2 linked regions of the Drosophila melanogaster genome follow. The protein of the gene in region 2 interacts with the protein of the main gene of each other region in a pairwise test. Each region holds a gene or a part of one and is shown on either strand. Other genes may lie near its edges.

Region 1 (5,876 bases), 9.1 Mb from region 2:
GCTGTATGAATAGGTGGTATGGTATATATGGCCCGACTAATTTCGAAATTTTTTGTCTACTTTTCAACAGCCTCGATTAGCCGAAAATTTATGTCTAACGCTGCCTGATCAGTATCGAGTTTTATACACGCTGGAGACCTGTGAACTAAAACGCACGGAGTCCTGTGCCCAACCGAAAAAGTTAAGTTTTTCAAGCACAAAGAACTTGGGATCAGTATAAGGTACTTATCTTATTATACAGTTTTTTCTTTCAAGCTTAAATCCTTAAATTAAGCTAACCATTCCCAAGCCTTCCACCACCAACGCTGCAATCAAGATAATTTATTTCTTCTCGATTTATTTCTCAGGTAAATGCACAACGAAAAGGTAAAGATTGTTATTAAGGATGTGATTTTGGTGTTATGTGTGTCCTAGTTTCGCCGCAGGATTTTGCAGGCAATCCGTAAAGCCTTGAGAACTGAAAAAAATGCAATGCCTTTTGAGCCATAATATTCCGTCTTTTCCATTTTGTTTTTTTTTTTCGTTTAATAGGTAAATGTATTTTTACTGCACTTTTGTCAACAACAATTTCGCTAATATTCAATGCACTAATCAAAGCTACATCCAACGACGACGGACTGACCTGACCGACCCATCGATTGCACCACCCATCCATCCCCCTGCATCGTTTGTTTGGCAGTGTCTCTCCTGCAGATTCGCGTGGCTGGGGCAGGGAATGGGCGGATGTGGTGATGGCCGGCTGACAACTAATCCAATCCAATCGAATCGCTAAGATGTGCAGATTCTCTTTATATTTGACTGTGTGTTGTTTGTTTTTAAAGAATATCGTATCTTTTATTTTGTTTGATCTTGTTGTTGTTTCTGCACTTGTCTGGCTGCTGTTATTGTTGTTGTTGTTGTTGTTGGGCGTGTGGGGATGTTAGACAACGTTCAAGGATTTCACGACTAGCGGAAAACCACGGACTTAGGCCTCCAGCTCCAGACCCACACCGATCTTGTGGCCGCCGGCATTGAAGTTCTTGCCATCGACCAGCGTGGACAGGGTCAGGGTGACTCCGTCGCGCAACTTCTGCTGGTAGCCCAGACCCACCTGGCTGGCGTTGTTCACCTTAGCGCGCACGCTGGCATCATCATCCAGCTGATACTTGGCGCCGATGGCGAACTTGGTGTTGCTGGTGCCGCTGGCCCACGACAGCTGTACACCCACATCCAGCTTGTCCGAAGTGCGTTGGAAGATCGAGCCGCTGAACTCCTGGCCATCGTTGCTAAACACCGGACAAGGCAATCATTAGTTTGCATTGATTTCATTTGCCATGCGTGGCAATTGCAATACTTACACAGCTGTGTGCAGAACAAAGTCCTTGGTGGTGTAGCCAAGGGCAAAGTTGTTGGTGGTCAGCTTGGACTGTTGTGTGTCAAATGCGGTCTGGTAGCCGGCCAACCATCCCTGGTAGCCAAGCACGGCAGAGGCATTGATCAAGGGGCCCTTCAGATCAATGTTCACATCCGAATCGGCCTTGACGTTCTCATGGCCGTAGGCAACCTTGAACTTGCCGTTCTTGTTTCTGACGATTTTTAATTAAATATGCAATATTAATTATTCTGCAGTGAACATATATGTAATAACATGTGATCCTTACCCAGACTGAGGAGCAAAGTTGCCCTCCAGGGACAGCTTCAGACCCTCGAGGAGCTGATCCTGGACAGCAACCTCGGTGAACAGCGTGTTGTCTGTGTTCCACTTCTCGGTGAGGGTCAGGCCGTAGTCCTTGACCTTGTACTTGGTCTCCAGGGAGCCGAAGACCTTTCCAGACTCCTGGTTGGAGTGTCCGGCTGTGTTGAACTCAATGCCCGACGAGGTCTTAGTCTTCAGATCGAGCTTCCACAGGCCAAAGTTGTAGCCTTTGCTGAAGATGTCGCGAGCCTGTTTGCCCAAATCGCTGTATGATGGAGGAGCCATCTGGAATGGATTGAAATGGAATGCATTAAATCGCACCTTCAATTAGTTGGTGAATAATCGATAATCATGACGATGATACTTATTGCGAAATCATTTCACTCGCCAGGTCATTAATTGCGTTTAGCGAACGATAAGTTTAATCTTATCAGCAACATAATGATTATTACTTTTTGCTCGACTTGATTTCAAAATGTTCTATCGGCCGCAAATGAAAAGTGAAAACTAAAAGACGCCAAAAAACAGCATCAACATGTCCCAAGAATTTCGAGGGCTTTTTCCCCATTTTCACTTTGGCTAAATGTCAATTTTGTGCGGCGAAAATAAAGAAATCAATTTAGATTAGTGTTCAAGGCGGCCACATGCAAAGAATCACCAACTGAAGCAGCGAAAATTCTGAGTGACTGAGGAGGGGGTCAATGCACGTCTGGGCAAAATAAAGTGGCGCAAAAAATAGAAGCGAAGATAGAAAACAAATAGTGACTAAGTCTATTTTACTCCAAGAAATTAAGGGTTTTCTATACCAATGCAAAACCATTTAAATCAAAATTTATTTTTCAAATATTTTTATAGGTTTTTTAAACTAAAATTTTAATAAAAATACTGAGATTTTCCCTATTTATCTGGCCACAGGTTTGCCTCTCTCTATGTTTACGTTCCGTTCTTGCTGGCATTAATTGCTGGTCAGTTCAGTCCCGTTAGGCTAGCGATCATTGACTCAGAAGCTAACTGCACATTTGCAACGTCTGCTGTGGTCACTGCTTCGCTGTTTCTATTTGCGTGACGTCAGGAATGCGACTCACAGTCGCGGTAGGAATATTAGTCGCGGATAAATAAATTTCTATCCGATATTGAGCATAAAAAAAATCAAACAAAAATAACCCAAAACATCTAATTGAAATTATTATATAGATATAACAATATAAATATTTCATGTTGTGTTCGGGGGGATTGGTGGGGGGAAACTCAAGGCAATCAAGGCAGAAAATTATGAAAAGCAGCGGCCAGCAGACAAAAATCTTTATGGCCGGCAGCCAAACGTTAAATGGGATGGGCTCTTATTGTTCCGGAAGTCAGGTGATATAACCTGGTCACTAGATGCTGAAAATAATACTATCAGGTGGATGTCCCGGTGAAAATGAATCAGCATCTCGTTGACGATGACCTTGACAAGCAGATTATAAAGGGGGTGGTTGGGTGGATGTGCAGCTCATTTTTTCGACAGTTGCATAACAGCAGGGAAATCGATGAGGGAAAGTGGAAAGCTAAGTGAATAGCTGCCCGAAAAGGTGGTCTATTGATTTTCCAGGTGACGTCACTGCGAAAATACCACCCACAATCGCGAAGTGCACCCACCTCCTCACATGACCACAAACAAACAAAACGACGATAAAGAACGGTAAAGAGTGAAATCGAAAATGTTTATTGAGCGAGCTGCACGCTGGTGGATGGCAACATGACGATAACGAACGGAATTGATGCGACATGCGTTACGTAACGGAAATTCGCCAGGCACTTTTCCATCGATCTCTCTGCTTCTTTGCCCCCTTTTTTCGCCGGCAGCTGCTGCCAATGAACTGCGAAGGCATTGGTGTGCGTGGACTGTTCATGTGTGGATGTGTGTGTGACAGCTAACCGGCTTAATATCCCCTTTAAATTTCGGATTTATCAATTAATTATTGCGTGATTTGGTGATAAGAAGCTCGCCCATCGTCATCCAACAAAAAAGTGCTCAGCCCTTTTGCTTTTCGTTCATGCGCGTGTCTACTTGCAATTTTTTCATTTCGAGGTTATGAAATCACTGGCACCGAAAATCCTGATTTTCCTTCTACCCATAGGGGTATCCATCACATTTCACTGAATTTTGAGGGGGTTTACTCCTGAGCTACTTACTTTTGATGAGTTTTAGTTTGGTTAGAGTGTAATGCGAAACGCAGAGGAACAGAGACACCACGACAAACGTACACCAAAAAATTTTGTAATTCTGTGCCTTAGTGTTACCAACCCTAAAAATTCGTCCAATAATTATTCCCTAAAACAAGCCGCAGATATACTATCTGGTAACGCTGCGTCACTCTTAATGGCAATGGTCACACTTTTTGTAACGGAAATTTGAAAACTAACGGTTACTTAAAATAATTATTGAAATTAGAATTCAATCATTCTATTAAGAAATTCGTTATCTTAAGAACAATTAACTTACATCAAAGTGTTTTTTTTTTACATAAAAGGGTTTCCTGCAAACGAAAACTTTAAAGTTGTGGACAAGTAAATGGGCTTTAAAAAAGTTATAATCCAAAGCAATCAAAATGCAATAAATATATTACAACTTTATTGATTGACACCAATGAAGTGTGTGCGATGCTCTTTTTATTTTTAGACGAATCTGCGTGCAGGGCCGCCAATCGACCGCATAATCCCATTCGGATGGGCCAAAAGCGAGACCAGTGCATTTGCCGTGCGGCGACAGAATGTTGAAGGCCCGTCTGCAGGAGGACGCCGTGCTGGGACGCTGCTTGGCCACCTCTAGCTCCGTGGAGCGGGGCGAGCTGGTGCTGGAGGAGCTGCCCTTCGCACGCGGACCGAAGCGCGACAGCGGAATCGTGTGCCTGGGCTGCTACCAGTTCCTGCAGTTCGGAGAGGACGGCGATTCGCTGGACCGCTGCGAACTCTGCGATTGGCCGCTGTGCGGATCGTGCGCCGACGACGAAGACGTCACGGAGCACCGCGGAGAGTGCCAGGTCTTCTCCGCCGCACGTGTCACTTTCGCCGGGAATGTGAGCGATGATGGCGTCTGCCCGCAGTTGGATTGCATAACCATATTGAGGTTAGTTCGCGGGCGCTCCAGCGGGGCGGGGGTGATGGTGCTGGGTACATCCGTACAGCAGGGGCTACTGGGTGCTACTAGGGGAACCTGGGCGGTCTGTCCGAATATTAGTTTTGGCAGCAGCGGCCCATTTCTCGCAGTTCGCAGGCTAGCCGGCATATACAGATTCTCATGGCGACTCTACGTCAAAGAAGGCGGACGGATGGATTAACAAGTCTGTGAAAGGGACAGTGGAGCAAATCGCACAGAAAATAAAAAATAAATAGCTAAATTTAAAGTGCATGAAAGTAAGGAGAAAATTATGGCATGAAACAAGCCATATTTGTACATATTATTATGACAGAATAATTGGTATATGATAGTTGCGGCGCGTTATGATCAATGTACCATCATGTTTTTATATATTTCGTAGCAAAACTGAACTGTAAGCACTGTGAATTATTATTTAAATAATGTTAAGCACATGTTTAAATAGATCGGTGCTTAGTACTTAGAAATAGAACTAACAAAGCCAAGCAACTTAAAAGTTACAAGCAACTTAAAAGTTACAAGCAACTTAAAAGTTACAACCAGTAAATTATTTAATTTATGAAAATGTAAGGTATTTTAGTTATTATAGAAATTGAACAATGTTTTCTCAAGACAATTTGTTCAAAACTAAAATTTCTCACCTAGGACCTCGCATGCCCACTGTGCCCAGCAATTTTGATGCTTTATGTCGGAGCAGGCAGAAATGTAGTCATGTAGTGGGGAGGAGGCATCATCTGTGGGGTGTGCCCATGACATGAGATCTGAGATCTGAGTGCGGCCAGCCGGCATCAGTCAGCGAAATGACATCGCCGCCAACGCTGTCGGTGAATAGGACAGCGGTTCAGTGGAGTCCGGTCTGCGGACGCTATCTGGTGGCCAAGGGAGCGATCCGTGGCCACGGTCTGCTGATCGAGGAGCTGCCCTTTGCCGTCGGGCCCAAGTGCAATGGACCGGTGGTGTGCCTGGGTTGCTACGAACCCAACCCAGATCCGGAGGAGGAGCTGTGTAGCGAATGTGGCTGGCCGCTGTGCGTGGAGTGCGCCCAACAAGCGGATAACGCCC
Region 2 (4,241 bases):
TCTGTAATAACTATGATAAAACGCGACTATGCAAAGATTAAAAGTAATTGTCTAAGTAAGCACACAATCGTTTGCGTCACACACCTCAAGGTATTTAATTACATATTTTTAATCAAACGGTCTCCGATTTTCATAAATAAATGCAAACGTATCTTAAAGGTAGCCATGAACCAAACTCGCCATGTTTTTCTTTAGTCCTTATCTAACTAGCTTATGATATGATATGTCGTGACTAAAAGTAGAATATGGTATACATCGATGGAGTGATGTGTAGTAGTTTATTTTATATATCTTATCTTTTGCGATAATATGATGTTTTCCCCCAATGAAACCACTTCTAGTTGTAATTCAATATTTATTAGTTTCTTTGTATAAAATTTCTCTTGCCTTCCAAATTTCAGTTAAAAAATATTAAGTAAAGAAGAAAGGTAATGTGCATTTCCTCAGATAATACAATCACAAAGCGATTTCAGTTAATATTTTGCTTCGAGCGCCTTACTGTTAGATTACACACAAACACAAAGTTACAATTAATAAACACAATATTTATTCGCGGAAGGATTAAGAACGAAACGCAAGTGCCTCGACTTCGGTGCAAATATGCATTATTACAAATAAGATACAAATACTTATGGATACTGTCTTGAGGGCGGCGAAGTTGGCATTTTCGGCTGAACTCTGGATGAAGCGCGACTCCAAACGGCAACAATGTGGGAGGACAGTTGAAACGGGCGGGCAAAATTTACATTAATGTGCTTCTCGTGGTGTAACAATTTTCTCATGTAACAAATTTACTGCCTAGAAATGCGTATTTAATATTTTTTAGTCAGCTCTTTAGTCCAGTCCAAGCGGAGTCCTCCACGGAGCTGCTCAACACAATTGGGCGAGTAACAGCGAATTGGGTGGGTGCAGCCGAAATATTATGAAAATTATTTATATTTATGACAATATTTAGTGGTGACAACAGTGCCTTGCAATTCGAATATTGCTGCGCTCTTCTTGGGAGCAGCCAGCTTGTGGGACGCCCCTGGACTGGATTGGTTTATGTGGAAATTCAGCCTTCAGCCGCTCAGTACTCAGTTCGATTCGGGCTTGACATTGCGTCGCAGGATTGCCGCTGCGAGGTCCTGCTTCATGGCCGCCTGCTGGCGCTGATCGGCCAGTGATTGTGTGCTCCTTAGTCCGTTCACGATGTCCTTGGTCTTGCCAAAGTAGATCTCGTTCAGGGTGTTCCTGATCTTGTTCTCCATCTCCTCGACCATCTTGCCAATGTTGGCGATGTGCGGCGACGACTCGCTGACGTTGGCGTCCTGCTCCTGCTGCCGGGTGAGGGATCCGCCCAGATTCATGGTTCCCGAACCCTGTTTGTTGGTCTGCAGCCAGAGCATTGCCGTGGAGGTGAGCTTGTAGTGGGCCGTCCTGCCGGTGGTCTTCTCCTGTACCTCGACCACATGGATGGAGTCCCAGCAGCCGCGGATCATCTTGCTGCCATCTCCCGCCTTTTTGATCAGTATAACGGCGGCAAACCCGTGATCCAGATCCCATAGGTAGACGGAGGAGACGCCTCCCTCGTAGTACATCTCCCTGTACTGATCGAAGGCATAGTTCGCCTCGATTTCCAGTTTGCGCAGTCGTTCCGAGGGCATTTGGCCATCCTCCAGCGGCGGATAGTAGGAGTTCGACCAGGGCGATCTGTAGGAGTCCCCATCCCGGTTATAGTCGCACAGCAGATAGTCCTTGCCGTGCTCCTTGTCCTTGGCGATCTTCAGCGGCTGGTCCACGGAGGAGAGCAAGTCCTCGCAGAGATCCGGTGCCAAGTCTATCAGATCAATAAGGTTCTTCTCGATCTGCTGGGGCGGCAGCCTCCGCATCAGATCCAAAGCACAGTCCATCTGCATTTCCGACTGAGAAGAGAGGAGAAGAGACACCAGTGAAATTGAATTTGAGTCACTGCACCACCGCCGATAAGAGAGCCCAAAAAATCCCTCCGCTTTCCACTGCCACCCGGCAAACCAGGGATTACCATATATGGGCATTATTTGAGGCCACAGGCCGCCGCCCCTCTGGAGGTTTTCTCGGTGGATTAGGTGATTGCCAAGAATATTTGGCTTGCAGAATGGGCGGTTCCGACCAAAAACACCGTTTGTTGGCCTGCTTTTTTTTCTTGTTACTATTGTAGTATTACTCACCATTTTGGTACTTTCTGCTTTCCCTTGTTTCGATAGTTTTACACTGTTTATGTTAGGGGCCTGCGTTCGCTGAGCAGGGCCGATCTTAAACTCTAGCTAGGATTTCGGGCTTATATTGCAAGTGATTGCACTAAATTGACTCTTTTTCCTTATTATTAGGATTTTTTATTTTTGCTATGGTGTGCTAGAGCTGGAACACAGCCCGATTATTATGCGATATCGTTCATTTTGGTGGAGCATCGATTGCTCGCTCGATTTGGTATATCGATTTCTTACCCGCTAACTATCTAGCGGAAATATTTGAAAATTAACATAACGAATGGCAGTTACTTACTTACAAAAGGCAATAATTTGCAGTACACTTTATAAAAATAAACTCTGGCACTCAATCCGCCCGAAATAAAACCATGGTCTTACTTTTATTATATTTTAGCAACAAGTTTATTGAATTTAGTTTTCGTTCATATACTTTTATGCTTAATTCCATTCTGGTTGCCCATTTCCTCTCCGTGTTTTGTGAGTTTCTGTTACAATGCGTTTGGTTTGTGTGTGACTGTGGGTTTAGCTTACTCGTAGTTTTTAATATGTTACACAAAAATGTATGGCATAATCGTAAATTTTTATCCGAGTTCGTGTTTAAAATATATTTAAGCTGCTTCGCTTTCGCACTCTTCAGACATACATACATACTTATTTAGAAATCATATGCGTGCTCCGAAAACGTATCCTTCTGAATCGATCCTTGGATTTCTTGATTTTTACATTAATTTTAGCCAAATACGTAGCGTGTGGGATTTTGCCTCGTTAGTAGTAGTAGGTTCAATAAACTTAATTAACCGCTTTGGGCTTAGACTCGCGCTTCAAGTGCGCTCTTTAGGTGTATACTTCGACCATATACGATAAATGTAAAATCTCAGACTTTAATTTTTAACTAAGGTGCACTACATACAGAAATCGTTCAGAGAAATGTGAACTAAATCGAGGGATTTTTTTTCGCAGCTCTGGATTTTTAGCCAGGATAAAAACTGTTACAGGTGACTTGTAAAATTAGGGCAGGTTTCACTAATCTCGAATAACTTAGATAATTATAATTTGTATTTCTTAGTCGTTCTTTTGAAGTTTAATATTTCGGCTAATTAATATTGATTTATTTACTTATGCTCTGTCGCATGCTAGACACTGTGCCAATATTCGAAATCAAAAGCGGTTTCAGATTCAATAATAGTACATAACTCCATTTTCAATCGTATTTCTCGTTTCATCGTTTTTCTTTCGCTCAATAATTATGCAACACTTGCTTATCAACGCTTCTTCGACAATCAAATGTAATCACAGTTTTATGTTTTCCTTCTTTATATAAACTCATTTTCATTTAGCTATTTATTTCACTATTTTCGCATTTCGCGTCGAGTATGTGTGTGTGTGTGTTTCTGTGAGTGTGTTTGTTGTGGCTTGTTCTTCTTGACTTGTGTGGGTGGTAAAACTAAAAATTCTTAGGGCTGGTTTACTACACGCCTAGTCCTCATGTGCTTCAAAAACTCACCTAACCTTCTCTCAATCCTCAATCTTCAATCATCGATCCTCGATCTTCAACCTTTCGGATCCCATGCTTATGAACATCTCAACTCACTGATCCTTGCCATGATCGCATATTAGATTATTAATACTATTACGTATTTAGAAAACTTTAAGAATATTGCACAACTTGTGAAAATGCTGATTCTGACTTCTGACCGACTGCCCGCTCGATTCGTTATAAGTTTTTAAAAATATTTCATTTAATATTTAATACCTGAGTTGTTCATAATCGTTTCGCATGATTATTACATCCGTTTTGCGGTTGCTTTCATAATTTTTTTTTTTTTTATCGTAATACATATCGAAAAAGTTTCTGTTTTTCTTCTCATTATTTATTTTTTTTTTTTGTTTGTATTAAATGCATGTATACATCGTCGTGAGTCTTGATAATGCCCTGAGTTTGCTCCAAACGGATTTGCGTTTTTTTAAAACTATTTTTTTTTTTGTTTTTCGTTTAACCTTATGCACGTAAAG

What was found. Proteins that work in one complex are often made in the same cells at the same time.
Region 1: the proteins of cpb (region 2) and porin interact in a two-hybrid assay, tested with the Drosophila melanogaster proteins (one large-scale study listed by BioGRID).

The regions. Positions count from the first base shown.
Region 1 is NT_033779.5:10,846,904-10,852,779, forward strand, and holds porin (porin), read right to left. Parts: upstream 3,946-5,876; 5' UTR 3,851-3,945; exon of another isoform or gene 2,613-3,850; intron 2,163-2,612; exon of another isoform or gene 2,128-2,162; intron 1,961-2,127; coding exon 1,641-1,960; intron 1,566-1,640; coding exon 1,338-1,565; intron 1,266-1,337; coding exon 965-1,265; 3' UTR 522-964; downstream 1-521. Other genes in the region: SmydA-3 (SET and MYND domain containing, arthropod-specific, member 3), read left to right, coding at 5,615-5,876. UniProt on the Drosophila melanogaster protein: Forms a channel through the mitochondrial outer membrane and also the plasma membrane.
Region 2 is NT_033779.5:1,703,063-1,707,303, reverse strand, and holds cpb (capping protein beta), read right to left. Parts: upstream 2,403-4,241; 5' UTR 2,193-2,402; coding exon 2,190-2,192; intron 2,174-2,189; exon of another isoform or gene 2,027-2,173; coding exon of another isoform or gene 2,024-2,026; intron 1,905-2,023; coding exon 1,077-1,904; 3' UTR 527-1,076; downstream 1-526. UniProt on the Drosophila melanogaster protein: F-actin-capping proteins bind in a Ca(2+)-independent manner to the fast growing ends of actin filaments (barbed end) thereby blocking the exchange of subunits at these ends.